Pelodiscus sinensis: one gene and its partner. The main gene of each other region encodes a partner of the protein of the gene in region 2 in a complex. Links are inferred from orthologs where the notes say so. Each region holds a gene or a part of one and is shown on either strand. Other genes may lie near its edges. The genes, in order: NOTCH1 and POGLUT1.

What was found.
Region 1: the proteins of POGLUT1 (region 2) and NOTCH1 are in contact, whole or in part, in a crystal structure (PDB 5UB5), measured with the Homo sapiens proteins. The link is inferred for Pelodiscus sinensis from reciprocal best matches to the Homo sapiens genes POGLUT1 and NOTCH1. Residues at the interface, in NP_689518.1 of Homo sapiens: Met103, Phe104, Pro105, Ser106, Arg107, Asp133, Gly170, Pro171, Ala172, Val173, Trp174, Pro178, Thr179, Gly180, Thr214, Asn239, Gln240, Ala241, Val274; in NP_060087.3 of Homo sapiens: Asn454, Glu455, Cys456, Val457, Asn459, Pro460, Cys461, Gln462, Asn463, Asp464, Ala465, Cys467, Gly472, Glu473, Phe474, Val485, His486.

What each region holds. Positions count from the first base shown.
Region 1 is NC_134732.1:20,255,219-20,263,815, reverse strand, and holds the start of NOTCH1 (neurogenic locus notch homolog protein 1), read right to left. Parts: upstream 3,813-8,597; 5' UTR 3,588-3,812; coding exon 3,530-3,587; intron 1-3,529. UniProt on the Homo sapiens protein: Functions as a receptor for membrane-bound ligands Jagged-1 (JAG1), Jagged-2 (JAG2) and Delta-1 (DLL1) to regulate cell-fate determination.
Region 2 is NC_134711.1:163,010,976-163,019,158, forward strand, and holds the start of POGLUT1 (protein O-glucosyltransferase 1), read right to left. Parts: upstream 3,555-8,183; 5' UTR 3,450-3,554; coding exon 3,371-3,449; intron 1-3,370. UniProt on the Homo sapiens protein: Dual specificity glycosyltransferase that catalyzes the transfer of glucose and xylose from UDP-glucose and UDP-xylose, respectively, to a serine residue found in the consensus sequence of C-X-S-X-P-C.

The DNA of each region.
Region 1 (8,597 bases), on a different chromosome or scaffold from region 2:
TCCCTGGAAGTATCCCTGATACTGGGGCCTGTAGATTGTCGACTTTTCAACGCAGAGACCATTGGGCACAACTGACTTTCACAGTAGAGTAAAACCAAAGTAACTTCAGAGTTGTTGCAGATAGGACTCAACCAATAAAAAAACAGAGCGGGCGGGGAAGGGGGCATAACCGTGGAATGGAACATTAGTGGAATGAAACACCATGACATAAGGTGTTTCCAATATGTAAATAGTGGTGTACAATGGAATGCCACCAAACATAAGGCTCCGTGCTAGCAATTCTGTAGAGCAGCTCGCAGGGAGCCATGTAAAGCCACAGAGTTTTAAAGCAGGGGAGAGGAACCTAAGGCCCAGCAGTCAGACCCCACCCCCAGCTTGCTTGGATCCAGCCCCCAAGGCTCGGGGCTCCCCGCCCCCCAGAACTGGGTACTTCGCACCAGCATCGCCCAGACCCTGCACCCTAGCCTGCTACTGCACCCTCCCAGAGAATCCCTCACCCTCAGTCTGCTCCTGCACCCCCCTCCTGCCCAAACCCCCATCTCCACTTTGCTCCTGCACCCGACCTCCCGCCCAGACACCCCCATCTAGCTCAGACCCCTCACCGTAGCCCACTTCCCACACCCTGAACCTCTCATTTCTGGCCCCACCCTAGAGCCTGGGGGGGGCTCACAAAATCTACTAGCCCAGCCCCCCCACGGCTTTGGTGTGCAGCCCCTGATTTTTTTTGTGGGCCAGCCGCCCTCGGCCCAAAAAAGATTCCCCACTCCTGCTTTTCTTCAAAGCAGCCCCGGAGCAGCCAAGTTATCTGCAGACAAGTTCAGATTACAGAGGCGGCTCCCAACCTTGTTCCCAGCCAGCTCGCAGAGTTTCTATCCTTTCCCACTCCCCCCCATCCCTCACCACATACTGCTCCTGTCCTGACTACAGAAAACCCTCCTGAAACTCCTGCTGAATTGTCTGGCTGTTCAGATATTCATGATTTAAAAAAAAAAAAAAAAAAGGAAGAAAAAAAAGGACAAAAAGCGGCTACAGACTGTCCTACTGAGGGAGAACAGAGCCATGGGCGCGCACTCCCCTCCTTGCGCGTGGGAAAAAGCGACAGCTGCAGAGCACAGCCTTCCTTGCCTGCTAACAAAGGGGGAAATCAGAGCGACCCATTGTAAAACGCTTGTTGCATTATTTACTGTAGGGCAGCTCTCAATCCTGTACGGCCCTGGATACTCAATACCTGCTGCCTGAAAGATCTGATTGAGTCAACCAGCCGCCCCCCGGCCCTGTTTTACTTTGGGGAGGAGGGAAGGAAGCCAGTTTTGGGTCGCGTATGCAAAGTGAAGTGAAACCAGACAGCCCCAAATGTACCTACCCAGGGCTCTTCCAGGAAGGCTGGGTGACACCCTTGCTATGACTAAGCCTTTTGACTTTATAGTGTAACGCTGATGAACACAGCGGAAGGCAACTCCAGGCAGAGAGCAATAGGGGTCCCCATACTTAGTCCTGCACTCCCTGGCCTGCACGCTCCAGAATAAAAACCTCTGTCTCGCTTCTGTTTAAAAATCATTGGGGACAGATCCAACCGGGCACCCTTTTTTTTTTTTTTAAAGCACATGCTAGAGCAGCCTGCAGGAATGGCACACGGCTATACAGGCTGGACTCATTTCTTACCTCCCCCCGCTTCCTCCCCGCAGGCTGCTTTCCCCTAGTAACCTCCCTTGATTGTATCAGTGGCCCTGGTTTCAGTGGGAATCAGGGTGGCAGACGCCAACCCACTCATCCAAGTTAGCAGCCAAACACAGGAGCTGCACTTTTTCCGCCTTACAAAGCTAGTGAGAGGACTCACATTGTTTTGGTTGGTCTCTAAAATGCCACAGGCCTAGTCCTTGTTTCTAAAGTTACAGACTTCACATGGCTCCCCCGCGCTGAGACTTTTTACCCACGTGATTAAATGCTACCCCCATATTTATACTCTTAGGCAGTGTTTTTGGTTGCTTATTTTTTCAGTGCTGTGAGGATTAAGGCAGGGAAGTGGTGCATTTTCAAGCAGACTCATCATCACCTTATCTCCCCATGTTAAGGGGATTATTTTTAAAAAATATCTTCCTACTCTTTCCTCTCACCTAGGTGAAACTCGCGCATCTTTCACTTTGGGGCCTTTTTGACGAAAAGAAGAATTGCTACACAAGTTTCCATTTGATTGTTTCCCCAAAGGTTACTGCCGTGTACAAGAAACAAAACGGCTTCTGACATCCGCCCCCAAACTTGCAAGGAAGGGCTGAGAGAACAAGAAATCTGACGTAGATTCAAGAAACAGGAAATAAAAAATTAACAAGGCTCTCAAAAAATAAAAAAAAAAGCAGCCCATCTCCGGCTTGCTCATTACATACCCCAGCCTTTAACAGAACACATCTTATCTGAAGAAGTGGGTTTTGCCCACGAAGGCTAGTGACTCTAGACATACATGTTTGCTAGTCTCTAGGGTGCCACAGGGCTACTTGTTGCTTTTTTAAAAGTTGTTTTCAAAGTTACAGACTAACACGGCCACCCCTTGGAGACTTTTACACAAGGAAAAGAGTCACTTTCTGAACTTTGCAACATGAAATATTCCACTGCCCAGAAAAAGAAATTCATACCAAAAAGCCCCTTCACTATTCACAGTATCCTGAGATCAGTTCTCCAAAGTAACCCCCTCCACACACACACACACACACACACACACACACACACACACACACACACACACGGTTTGTGTCACACACACACACACACACACACACACACACACACACACGGTTTGTGTCACACACACACACACACACACACACACACACACACACACACGGTTTGTGTCACACACACACACACACACACACACACACAGTTTGTGTCACAAAAACTGTCACGCTATCCAGCCCTGTGGTGGCAACTTTTAAAGGTTTGCTTCTCTCGGGAGATCTCTAGAGAATAAAGTTTTAAGAGAACTTTCTCTCTCTCTCTCTCTCTCACACACACACTTCACCGCTCCCCAGGATTGTTTCTAAGCGGAGGGAGTTACACACACTTGATTCCCCGCCCTGCCAGCCGCACACCTCTCAGGTGGGTTGTGATCTTTTAAAATCCAAGGGCTCGGGGAGGAAACGGATTCCCTCTCCGAGGGCAGCTGGTGGCAGAGAGCAATGCACCACATACAACGAGTGCCCCACGGAACGCAACTCTCCCCCCACATAAGAAGGCAACTCCCCCCCCCCCCCGTCAGCCTGAGCTGAGCCGAGCCGCAGCCCTTTGCAAAGGGGTTCACCTGCGCTTCAGGCTGAGCCCCGGCTTCTCAGGGAAGCCCCCGCCAGGAGGGAGCTCTGCCCGGTTCGGAAGCCCCCTGTCCCCGCGCCTGGCTGCACCGGAGCCGGGCAGGGGAAGACGGGACACAGAAAGGGGGGAGGAAAGTTTCTCCTTCGCCAGCGAGGGACTCCCCGGCTCCATCTCCAGGGGCGCCCCTCACTTCTGCCCCAGCCCACGCGGGCCCCCGGCCGGCCCCTACCTCGGCTGAGCGCGGGCAGCAGGGACAGCAGCAGGCTCTGCACCAGAAGCAGCTGCATTCCTCCTCTCCGGGCTCCACGCGGGCGGCTCTCGCGGCGCGGCTCCTGGCCCCCCTCTCACAGCCGCATCGACCCCCCCAGCCGGCCGGCGGGCGTGCAGGGCCCCGCCCCCCCAAAAGGCTCAGGCGGCCCCCGAGATCCGCTCCGCGGGAGGACGGCGCGGGGCGCAGAGACGCGGAGAGCGCGGCGCGCCGTGCGAGCTCGGGCTGCGAGTCCCCGAGCGAGGAGGAGGCGGCGGCTCCGAGCCGCGTTCTCCTCCCATTCCCCCCCCCCCCCGCCCCCCGCCCCTGGTCCTTCCGCCCAGGTGCCCCGAGCTCAGCCAGCCGCCCGGCCGGGGGGGGGGGAGCGGCCCCCGGGCTGCGAGGGGGCGGGACAGTGGTTGGGCAGCTGGTCCTCAAGCCCCTGCGCTCGGGGGGGGCTGCGCCGCGTCGGGACCTTTCCCAGGCTGCTGGAAGTTGGGTGTTTGTGTGTGTGAGTCTGGGTGTGAGAGAGAGTGTGTGTGTGTGTGTCTGCGTGTGAGAGAGAGAGTGTGTGTCTGTCTGCGTGTGTGTGTGTGAGAGTGTGTGTGTGTTTGGGTGTGAGAGAGAGAGTGTGTGTGTCTGCGTGTGTGTGTGTGAGAGAGAGTGTGTGTCTGTCTGCGTGTGTGTGTGTGAGAGAGAGTGTGTGTCTGTCTGCGTGTGTGTGTGAGAGAGTGTGTGTGTGTGTCTGGGTGTGTGTCTGGGTGTGAGAGAGAGTGTGTGTGTGTGTGTCTGCGTGTGAGAGAGAGAGTGTGTGTCTGTCTGCGTGTGTGTGTGTGAGTGTGTGTGTGTTTGGGTGTGAGAGAGAGAGTGTGTGTGTCTGCGTGTGTGTGTGTGAGAGAGAGTGTGTGTCTGTCTGCGTGTGTGTGTGTGAGAGAGAGTGTGTGTCTGTCTGCGTGTGTGTGTGAGAGAGTGTGTGTGTGTGTCTGGGTGTGTGAGAGAGTGTGTGAGTCTGGGTGTGAGAGAGTGTGTGTGTGTGTCTGTCTGCGTGTGTGTCTGGGTGTGAGAGAGTGTGTGTGTCTGGGTGTGAGAGAGAGTGTGTGTCTGTCTGCGTGTGTGTGTGAGAGAGAGTGTGTGTGCGTGTCTGGGTGTGAGAGAGAGAGAGTGTGTGTGTCTGCGTGTGTGTGTGTGAGAGAGAGTGTGTGTGTCTGCGTGTGACAGAGAGAGTGTGTGTGTGTGTCTGGGTGTGTGAGAGAGTGTGTGTGTGCGTGTGAGAGAGAGAGTGTGTGTGTGAGTCTGGGTGTGAGAGAGTGTGTGTGTGTGTGTGTCTGTCTGCGTGTGTGTGTCTGGGTGTGTGAGAGAGTGTGTGTGTGTGTGTGCGTGTGAGAGAGAGAGTGTGTGTGTGAGTCTGGGTGTGAGAGTGTGTGTGTGTGTGTGTCTGTCTGCGTGTGTGTGTCTGGGTGTGTGAGAGAGAGTGTGTGTGTGTGCGTGTGAGAGAGAGTGTGTGTGTGAGTCTGGGTGTGAGAGAGTGTGTGTGTGTGTCTGTCTGCGTGTGTGTGTCTGGGTGTGTGAGAGAGAGTGTGTGTGTGTCTGTCTGCGTGTGTTTGTGTGAGAGAGTGTGCGCGCACATGTGTGTACACGCGTCTGTGTGAATGTGTGTCTGCGTGTGTGAGAGTGTGTATGTGTCTGTGAGAGTGTGTGCGCACGTGTGTGTACATGCGTGTCTGTGAGAGTGAGTGTGTGTGTGTGTGTGTGAGTGTTTGTGCATGATGTGTCTGTGAGAGTGAGTGTATCTGTGTGTGTATGTGTGTTTGTGCGTGTGTGAGTGTTTGTGCATGATGTGTCTGTGTGAGAGCGCGTGTGTATGTGCCTGTGTGTGAGAATGTGTGAGTGTATGTGTCTAAGTGTTCATGTGTGTGCGCACGTGTGTACACGTGTGTCTGTGAGTGAGTCTGCATGTCTGCGTGTGTCTGAGTGAGTGTGTGTGTGTGTGTGTGTGCACGTGTGTCTGTGTATGTGTGGGGCAGGAGCTGGGTGCTGCTAGAGGCTGGGTGTGTCTGTGTATGTGTGTGTATCAGTTACTTGGAGTGGGAAGAAAGTAGAGCCCCCCACAAGGTCTGTGGGACTAGTCCCTGAGGGCCAGACAGGGTGACGGATCTGGGACAGTATTCAAATACAGGCACAAGGATGCACTCAAAAAATGTGCACTCAACCCCTGCACCTCCCAGAGCCTGCTTGGTGCATGCTGCCTATCAGGGCAGGTAACTCGGTGGGGGCTGTTATGAGAGCCAGGAGGTTTGCCTGCCTTGCTGACGGGCTAGTCCAGTGTTTCTTAAACTATGTTCCGTGGAACACTGGTGTCCGTGAACAACTCGTCAACTCTTCTTTGTTTTTGTTACTTATTTGTTTTTGTCTTTTTTTGTCTGACAACAAATTGGTGTTCATAGGTGTTCTGCATAAAAAGTATTATTGTTTGGTTTTCCGTGGTCTCAAAAAGTTTAAGAAACACTGGGCTAGTCAGTCGGGGGGGGGGGGGGGGGGGGGGGGAGAGGTCTGTTAAGTTGTCCAGGGGCTGCGTTTTCACAGGCTCCGTGGATGCAACCTGCATTTTTGCAGGTGCAGTGCGAGCAGCTCCAAGTTTGGCAAATGCAACAGGTGAATAAACAGATCTGTGAAGCCACCTTTTGTGTCAACCTTGGAAAAACTGCCCCTCTAAGTCTCCCAATCTCAGCCACCTTTGAGGCTCCCCGATCTTGTCTGAGTGGTCGACTTTTGCTCCTGGAATGCTCTAGGTGACAAACAGTGAAGTGAAGGACCAAAACAATCCGAACAAAGATGTATTCACCCCCAGGCGCCTGCCTATTGGGAATGCGTGGACCAGAGGGAAGAAACCGAGTGAGGCCTGCCTGTTTATTTCCTTTGTGCTGTAAACTTCTGAACTTTCAACCCAAACTCTGGCCAACAATAAATAAAAAAGCAGCTAATTAAATAAAAGACGGCCTGGAAGCCAACTCCAGAGGCCAGAGGGGAAAAAAACCCAGGTTGAGTAAATTTTCAGCCAGTGCAACATTAAATTCTGGCTGCTGCCATGTGCCAGTGCTACCTCTGTATTTTATTCTGAGGACCCTGTTCCTCTAGCTCTCCCTTACACTAACAAACCCATCTCAGGCCCTGGTCATCCAAGGGAGAGATGTCTCTGGAGTCAATAGGATTTCTGTCTGGGGCAGGATGGGTTCTTAAATGTGATCACCTGTAGGATTTAACGATGATACTAAGAGTTGAATTCAGTCACATGTCCTGCCCCACCTTAGCACCTCTCAGCAATTATTATGCAGTCCCAGCCATCTGTCTAGGTGCCTAAATTCGAGGCCCTTGTGTTTGAAAATGTGGGCCAAAGTCTGTCTCTATAGTGAACTTTTCCCTTCACCTGTCCCACTATTACACCATGGCTGTGTCTACACTGGCATGAATTTCCGGAAATGCTTAAAACAGAATAGTTTTCGTTATAAGTATTTCCGGAAAAAGAGCGTCTACATTGGCAGGCTGCTTTTCCAGAAAAGCCCTTTTTCCGGAAAAGCATCTGTGGCCAATGTAGACGCGCTTTTCCGGAAAAGAGCCCCGATTGCCATTTTCGCGATCGGGGCTTTTTTCCGGAAAAGACTACTGGGCTGTCTACACTGGCCCTTTTCCGGAACAGTGTTCCGGAATAAGGACTTATGCCCGAGCGGGAGCAGCGTAGCTTTTCCGGAATAGCAGCTGATTTTGTACAGTAGAGCGTCGTTGCTTTTCCGGAAATTCAAGGGCCAGTGTAGAGAGCTCGCAGCTTATTCTGGAAAAGCGGCTGATTTTCCGGAATAAGTGGCCCAGTGTAGACACAGCCCACCAGTGAAGTAGTACTAACAGTGCCGGCAAGGGTGGGAATGCGCATGTTCCCTCTCCCCTTCTACTGTGTTGCTCAGTCCTGCTTGGATGGTGGCAAAAATACCAGTGCCTTGTCTACATTAGTGCTTCCTCTTTTGCTCCCACATCACTGGCTAGTGCAACCGTGGGAAATGTGGAAGAAAAACTCGCTGTGTGCAAGGCCCAAGGGATTCGCCCAAGGTCATGCAGCAAGTCAGTGGCAAAGTCAGGAAAGATGCATAGGCTCTCATCTCTGGGCTCAACCCACTAGTGTACAGCTCTGTCTGTTTGCAACCTGGCACTAATCTTTCAATGAGATCCACCACCGCAAACAATGATATATGAAGATAGCTTGTGAAAGCATCCTGGGGCAGGGTTGGGCCTGCAGGGTCGGATAGCAAAGCATTTCCGCCATGCGATGGGCTGACGATCATTTCAGGGGAGTCCAAGTGAAAACAGGACCGATGCATTGTCCTGAGCCAGCTGTAGCTCTTTTGTCCCTCCTTTGTCTCCAAATCATGGAGTCCTAGAACTGGAAGGAACCTGGGGAGGTCAAATGCAGTCTCCTGCCCTCATGGCAGGACTCAGAATCAAGACCATCCCTGACCGATGTTTGTCTGCTCTTAAAAATCACCACAGATGGAGATGCCACAACCTCCAGAGGCAATTTATTCCAGTGCTTCACCAGCCTGACAGGTGGGAAGTTTTTCCTAATGTCCAATCTAAACCTCCCTTGCTGAAATTTAAGCCCATCGCTTCTTGTCCTGTCCTCAGAGGCCAAAGAGAACCCTTTTTCTCCCTCCTCAAAACATGGTTCTGTTGAACCTCCACTTGGTAATAACGTCAGAGCTGGAGAACATGCTTGCCCAAGTTAGTTTGCATTTGGTTAAAGGGGAGGGAAGGGGAAAGAGAGACTGACTCCGGAATGGGTTAATGAATAGAAGTAACACCTCTTCCTCCTCCCTTGTCCACTCCAGCTCCAAAGGCCCCTCCTGTCCTTCTCGGAGCTGTTACCCCCTATTTCCTGCTGTAACTTACTTCCAGAGGGAGTGTGAAAGAAATTAAACACCTAAGAGGACAGTCTGTCCGGGAGATCAAAGGGAAGAGCCCCACAGTGTATTTGTATGCTCTCTTCCTTTCCCGGGTGTCATCT
Region 2 (8,183 bases):
CTCAAAAGCACCCCTTGATGGGGGAAGAAGAGAAACTGAGGCAGCAGTAGAGTCTGACAGCACATGAAGTAACACCTTGTTGCAACATACAATCATCTCCAGTCTGTCAGCTCTTCAGGCTAACCAAAATTGAGTGGTTTGCACTTGGAGTTTCCTTGCAAGTTTCTTGTGCAGAAGAGTACTGCCAACTCAGTGGGTAGCAGCCTTTAAAGTAAGTATAAAAGAAATCCCCAAGTGTGGTACAACATGATAACATGCCACCTCCAACCACTTCATTGGGGGATGTAGGGTTGCCAGATGGTCTCCCAAAAAATACCAAACACATGGGCTAAAAATTTGTCAAGCAAAAAAAAAAAACCAAACCAAACCACCCACACTGAACACACATCCTGTGTGGCTACTACCAAGAACCACCAAGCTAGGAACAAAGGTGGAGGCAGCAGAACCTGCTCTGCAAAGCAGCTGCCTGCTACCCAGAGCAGAGAGGCGCAGACCCCGGGGCAACACAATGGCAGGGCAGGGGGCGGAAGCGACCATGGGTAGGAATCATAGAATAAATCATAGAATAATAGGACTGGAAGGGACCTCGAGAGGTCATCGAGTCCAGCCCCCCGCCCTCAAGGCAGGAAGATGACTCCCCCATAGCCAGGTCTTTGGGTGTCCCAATGGGAAGAAGCAGAAATTCCACCCCAGTCAGTTTTGGCTGAGAGTCCATGGAAGGCGCCTAAACGCAATTATAAAGCACCTCAGGGCTTCTCTCCCCGCACCACAATGCAATTGAACAGCGCTCAGGAGCAGGGACAGGGCTTCTCCTCCTCCCCAGATGCAATCTGCTGAGGGCTCCCAGCACCAATTGTGCCCCACCAGGCTTCTGCATGCAACCAGATCACGGCTCCGCCTCCCAGCCTGGGACTCCCTCTGGTTGTGTGCAGAATCCTGGTGGGGGCTGGGGGAGTGGCCAGGACTCCCAGCCACTCCCCCCACCCCCGCCAGGCTTTTGCACGCGACCACAGGCTCCAAGCGCCGATCGCAGCCCCGCCTCCCAGCCACTCCCCCCGCCCCTGCCAGGCTTCCGTCCGGCGCCCAGCCAGAAAAACAGAAAATACCAGACATTGCACAGTCCAGTATTTTCTGAATTTTTTTTTACCAGACAGAGGGCACAAAAACCGGACTGTCTGGTAGAAAACCGGAAACCTGGCAACCCTAGGGGGATGGGATGGGAGGAGGAGTATTCCTGACAATTCACAGCCTGTAAGATCCCATGGCAGTAGTTCTCAACTCAGAGCCTGTGAGCCCTTTCAGGGAGACCGCAGCACCCTGAGGTTGAAACCTGGTGCCTTGTGCTACAGTGTCCCACAGGTGCAGCACAAGGCAGAAACCAGCCTCCCACTCCCCCGTCCTCACGTTAGCCACTCCAGCGCTCCTGCCCCCATTTAAACTGGGAACTACATTGGAAGCCCTCACCTCTGCCTGCACCCTTAGCTACCTCTCTGCCAAACCTATTCCCCTGCCTTCACCCTTAACTATCCCCATACCAGTACACAGCTCCTAGCTAACCCCAGCCTGCACCCTGAGCAGTTTTCAAAATTTCTGAGCTGAATTTCTCTCTCCCCCCACCTTCTCCCCACACACACTTTGAGTTATAATTTTGGTTGTTTCCTTCCACAACTCAGTGGCACTTCTTCCCTGGCTCCCCTGTGCAGAGCTGGCCCAACCACCAGCAGCCCTTATCCCCTCTCCAAAAAATTAAAACTATTCCTATGAGCAAGGGTCTTGCCCCTCAGCCCAGAGCCCCAAAGCTCTAGAGTTTTTATTAGGCATGTGAAAGTATAAATGTGTCCATGGTTAATTGATGAACCTGGGCTCATTGATTAACCTTCACAATCATACACAATCCCCCCCCCCCCACCCTCATGCTGCAGAGGGGGTGGGTGGGCAGGCACAAAGTCAGCATGTGTGGTGAGCCAGCTTAAAAGCCAGCTCCCTCCCACCCCGGCATGTGAATGCGTAACAGATGACATTTTCAATAAATACATTTTAACATCCTCAGTTTTTATAGCATGTTCAGGGGAGCCTTAACAAGAAAAAGGTTGACAGCTTCTGTCCCATGATATATCCCCTATACTTATAGAGAGTTATGTCTGTGTGTGAGATAAATGGGAATTTGGGTGATTTAACATTCACCTACTTCTGTTCCACTCTAGCTTCATTTAGCTATAGTAACATTCATCTCCTGTCCTAAGTTCTCCTTTAACGTTACTGTGTGCTGTTGAACAACTGGCTTACTCCACTTCAGATAACTGCCCTTCAGCAGTGGACAAAGTGTTTTTTTTTAATAATCAGGTGCTGTGCGGAGGTTCTCTATATAAAATTTGTTTGTATTACAGAAAGACCCAGAGATAGAGTTACAGTGTGGAGAGCCCTGCAAATCCACAGCTATCCGCTTTATAGCCACAGGTATCCACATCCACAAATGTGGATATCCGTGGCTCATTTTTGCAGATGTAGATGCGGATACAAATTTTGTATCAGCACAGAGAGCTCTAATGATGTGTGCTACACAACCTTCAGTAAACAGTCCCTGTCCCAAAGAGCTTATAGCCTCCTTTTATATTGCATATTAAATAAGACTGAGACACAGCCCCCTCATTCCACCAGCAAAAGAACTGCTTCTAGAAACCCTGGTTTGCATTCTTTAGTGACAAGTTGGTTCAAAGACGAAAAAAACCAGGCAGATACGAGAGGTGCAGGAAAACACGGGATGCTAAGCCCAACAAACAAGGCTTTCTCTGGGGCACCCCTGTTCTAAAGGGTGTCTTTGAGGCAAGCTAAGTGCCCCACTAGGGCCGCCTCCCTCAGCCTGCCCCTGCTGTACGCCCCGCACGCATCCAACCCCACTTCCAGCTCCGGACAGGCAAGCCCGGGGGCTAATCTCTGCAGCCCCTAGCTAAGTACAAACAGGCTACAAGACGCAGGGAGTTTGCATCCGTTTCCCACGCTAGGGGTAGCGCGGGGCCGCTCCGCTGCAGAGAGCATCTGCGCAGGGCGGGCGGGTCACTCGGAGGAAGAGGGGCGAGCGGGCGCAGTGACCAGCAGGAGGCTGAGCCAAACAGAAGAGGCAGGGGCAGCCGCAAAGGCGGCGTTGCCTAGGGTGGCGCAGGCCCGGGAGCAGGGTCCCAGCCGGGCAGGAGGCAAGAGGCGCTGGGGAGGGCTCGGCCCGGCACACGTGGGGCTGAGCGAGGGAGAGGCGGCGCTGGAGGCTGCAGCGGGGGACGGGGCTCGGGGGGCGGGAGACACACCCCGCTCCCCAGTGCCGGGGGGAAGGAGAGTGGGGGAGCGCGCCCCGCCCCTCCCGGTCGCAGCCTCTCACCTGCAGCGCTGCTCCCCTGGCTGAGCACGAGCTGGGACAGAGCCGCCGCTCGCAGCGCCCAGGCCACCAGCGGCCCCATTGTGCAGCCCGGCGGACAGCTGCCGCTGCCCCCCCCCCCCGCACTGCGCCTGCGCGCGGCGAGCCGGCCCCTCTGCGTTCCATCAGGCCGATAGCTGATTCAGAAGAAAAAAAAAATGTAGAAGGGCGGGAGGAAGAAGCGCCCTGCACAAAGATGGCCGCCACCGCAGGGGAGAAAGGGACACGGTGCCCCGCACAAAGATGGTCGCCGCTATAGTCAATTCCACATCCGGGACCGACTCGCTTTACCTGATGGGAGTTGTAGTGCCCGAGTTGGCACATCACAGCTCAGTATATGGAGCACAGCCCCTCCCTGCCCAGGAGCAACTGTGGGGTGGCCCCAGCCCTGAGGCCCCTGGGCTGCTCACCAAGCCAGCTGGTCTGGCTGTCGACACTAGGAATGTGAACACCACCAGTGGGGTGAGTAGGAGGTGCGGTGAGCCATTGAGCCCAGCTCTAAACCCTGTGGGATAGAAATAACTTCAAGCCAGGGGGTGCAGCAGCCAGGGCTGAGTGGGTCTCTTGCTAGAAGCTGGGTCTCAGCACTCCCTGGCCAGAGCATTAGTGCTACCATTGCTGGAATAATGCTATCAGTAATTGGAAAAGGAAGTTGATAAATCAGAAAACGTTCAGAGACGAGCTACAAGAATGATGAAAGGATTTAAAACCTGCTTGATAGTGACTCTGAAAGCTCAATCAATGTAGCTTAAAAAAGAGATGGTTAAGGGGCAATACACCCGGACTAAATGGCATTCACCCAAGATTTCCAAAAGAACTCAAATGTGAAATTGTGGAACTATTAACTGTGGTTGGTAATCTGTCGTTTAATCAGCTTCTGTACCTAATGACTGGAAGATAGCTAATGTGATGCCAATATTTAAAAAGGGCTCTAAAGGTGATTCTGGTAATTACAGACCAGTAAGTCTAACATCAGTACCGGGCAAATTAGTTGAAGCTATGGTCAGGAATTAAATTGTCAGACTGATGTTGGGAGAAAGTCAACATGGTTTCTGTAAAGGAAAATCACGCCTTACAAATCTACAAGAGTGCTTTGAGGGGAGTCAACAAACCTTTGGACAAGGGGGAACCAGTGGATATAGTGGATTTAGATTTTAGAAAGCTTTTGACAAGGTCCCTCACCAAAGGCTCTTAAGTCACGGAAGTTGTCATGGGATCAGAGGGAAGGTACTCTCATGGACTGATTACTACTTAAAAGACAGGATACAAAGTTTTCAGAATGGAGAGAGGTAACTAGCGGTGTTCCCCAACGGTCCGTACTGGGACAAATCCTATTCAACCTATTTATAAATGATCTGGGGAAAGGGGTAAACAGTGAAGTGGCAAAATTTGCAAATGATACTAAACTGCTCAGGATAGTTAAGACCAAAGCAGACTGTGAACAGCTTCAAAAAGATCTCACCAAACTATGTGATTGGGCAACAAAATGGCACATGAAAGGTAACATTGATAAATGTAGAGGAATGCATGCTGGAAAAATAATCTCGACTATACATGCAAAAGGATGGGTACTAATTTAACTATAACCCCTCAAGAGCGAGATCTTGGAGTCATTATGGAGAGTCCTCTGAAAACATCCACTTAATGGGCAGCAGCAGCAGTTCAAAAAGCAAAAAGAATGTTAGAAATCATTTAAAAAGGATAGAGAATAAGACTCTTATCTTATTGTGCCTATATAAAACGATGGTACACCCGCATCTTGAATACTGTATACAGATATGGTGGCCTCATCTCAAAAAAGGCATATTTGCAGTGGAAAAGTTTCAGAAACAGGCAACAAAAATGATGAGGGGTTTGGAATAGGTTCCATATGAAGAGAGATTAAAAAGCCTGGGACTTTTTAGCTTAGAGAAACAGGAGACGAAGGGAGGATATGATAGAGGTCTGTAAAATCATGACTTGCGTGGAAAAAAGTGAATAAGGAAAAGTTATTTACTTGTTCCCAGAACGCAAGAACTAGAGGTCCCCAAATGAAATTAATAGGTAGCAGGTTTAAAACAAACAAAAAGAAGTTTTTCTTCATGCAGCACACAGACAACTTGTGGAACTCCTTGCCAGGGGATTTTGTGAAGACCAGGACTTGAACAGGGTTAAAAAAAGAACTAGATAAATTCATGGAGGTTAGGTCCATCAATGGCCAGGATAGGTAGGAATGGTGTCCCTAGCCTCTGTTTGTCAGTAAGTGCCTGGAAATGGATGACAGGAAAGAGATCATTTGAAGATTTCCTGTTCTGTCCACTCCCTGTGAGGCATCTGGCATTGGCCACTCTCGGAAGACAGGATACTGGGCTAGATGGACCTTTGGTCTGATCCTGGATGGCTGTTCCTATGTTTTTATGACTCATTCAGTCTATAGGGCATGATACACAGCAGGGCTAAATCTGAAATAAGCTACGCAACTTCAGCAATGTCTATTGTGTAGCCTAAGCCAAAATAGCTTATTTTGGCTATTGATGCTATCTACACAGCAAGAAGTCTGAGGCAGAGCACTCTTCCTCTGACTTCTTTTATGCCTCATAAAATAAGGGTTACAGGAGTCAGCATAAGTAGTCCTCCAGTTCGCCATTATTTCAACATTATTATAGTTTAGATGCGGACTATGTTATTTTGGAATAACATCAGTTATTCTGAAATAACACTATTGTGTAGATGTACCCTAAGTACCCATATGAGGAGCACAAACTTGATAATGGATATGACTTAGGGTACCTCTAGACTGGGGTGTTTTTCCAGGATACCAGAACAAATAGGATAATCATATTCAGCAAATCATAACCTTTTCAATGATACCTCACATGGCCTATACTGAATAAAATACATCATAATTATGCCATAAGCATATCATAATAATATCTCGGTGTTCTCTAGCTTGTGTTATGTAGGAGGTCAGACTAGATGATCACATTGGTCCTTTCTGGTCTTAGGTCTTGACTTCATGTACAGTGCGGCAGTGGAACAGCTAGGCCACTGTATCACTTTACTGAAGATGCTACTATGCCGACAGGAAAGCTTGGAAGGAGGTGAGCTGTCCTGGGGGTCTTGTCTGAAAATTATAGGTACAGACAACAAGCTTTTTCTTTATTTTCCTTTTGCTTTGTAATTCCCCCCTCCCCCCCCCCAAAAAAAACCCGGGCATCTCTGACACTGATCTCATCTGATTTCTAAGAAACTACAGAGAAGCTGAGAGAGAAGGCAGAATCAGTAATGCCCTGAACAAGCACTTAATATGTCATCCTGGAAAAGCTTAGAGAGAGAGAGCTTTGGGGCCAGTTGCTGGCTAAAAGAAATATAGGACTGCGAGGCTCTCCTGATGTTTGGCTCATCTTGTGTTCAGGGAAACAGAACATTGTACATTCTCTATAAACAAACAAGATTGCATTAAAGATACCTGGACCCATTGCAGATTTCTCTTCCAAATGGGAACACCTGTAGGGCCCAAATTGTGACTAGCTTCTTAGGTCAAAAGTGGTAACACTACCTATAGTGAGAAATTGGAAAATCCAAGGCATTTCTCATATGCTGGTCCCAAACTCTTCTTACCCCATATTAGCCTCCCCCCCCAAAAAAGAGGAAAATATCAGCTCCTTTCAGTGGTGGTTGTCAGAAGCAGCCTTATTGCTTTCTGCATAAACAGAATCTATTGTTCTGTTCCTGTTCTAAGGGTACAATGCTGCATCTGTGCAAGTGATATGAATAGTTCTAAAATTAAGAACATAAGAATGATCATACTAGGTCTGACCAAAGCTCCACCTAGCCCAGTGTCCTGTCTACCAACAGTAGCCGATGCCAGTTGCTTCAAAGGGAATGAACTGATTAAGGCAACGGTCAAGTGATCCATCCCCTGTCATCCAGTCTCAGCATCCAGAACAGAAGCTAGCATCTCTGACCATCTTGGCTAATAGTCCTATTCTATCCTTATGAACCTATCTCATTCTTTTTAAAATCCTGTTATAGTTCTGGCTTTCACAACATACCCTGGCAATGAGCTCCACAGGTTGACTGTGCATTTTGTGAAGTATTTCTCTATATTTGTTTTATACCTGCTGCCTATAAATTGTGTTGGCTACTCTTGTAAATCTTACAAAAGCTTGAGTAAGTAACCATAACATGAATGCCTTACATCTTTGTAACTTGTGAAGTTGCCTTAGACCTCCTGTGTCACTCTGGGCCTTTCTACATACCTGATCCGCTATTACTATTACTGTAATAGTGTTGTTCTCTGCTTGTCTCCCATTTCAAGTTTCAGAACATATTTCCCCATTGGGGTCTCTGATACCCTACTCATTGTCCTGGGTCAATGTCAATTTTCTCTTTGTGGTTACCTCTTGTAGTTTGCATGCCAACCTGCTGCACAGCCAGTCGGATTGTAGTACTGTACAGCTGAAGATTATTATTTGCAGTGCTCTTTCTGAGGCAGACAGTAGGAGATGTAGCCAGCAGAAACGGTCAATAGCCACTAAGTCTTTCTAGGGCCCAGCTTATTTGATGTAAATTCACCTTCATGGTCAAGTTTGAGATGAAACTCCTGTGAACCTAGTAATTCTCTCTCTCTCTCTCTTTCCTTCCTTTCTTCTCTCTCTCCTGGTCTTCTGTAATGAAAGTACCCCGGGCCAGTGGTGTTTGCTTTTGGAATATGCAGCTTTGCTTAAGCTTGGAGCCTTCCCAAAGTGATTTGGCTAGGAGCTTAATCGGAATCCCTTCATTCTCATTTCAAACA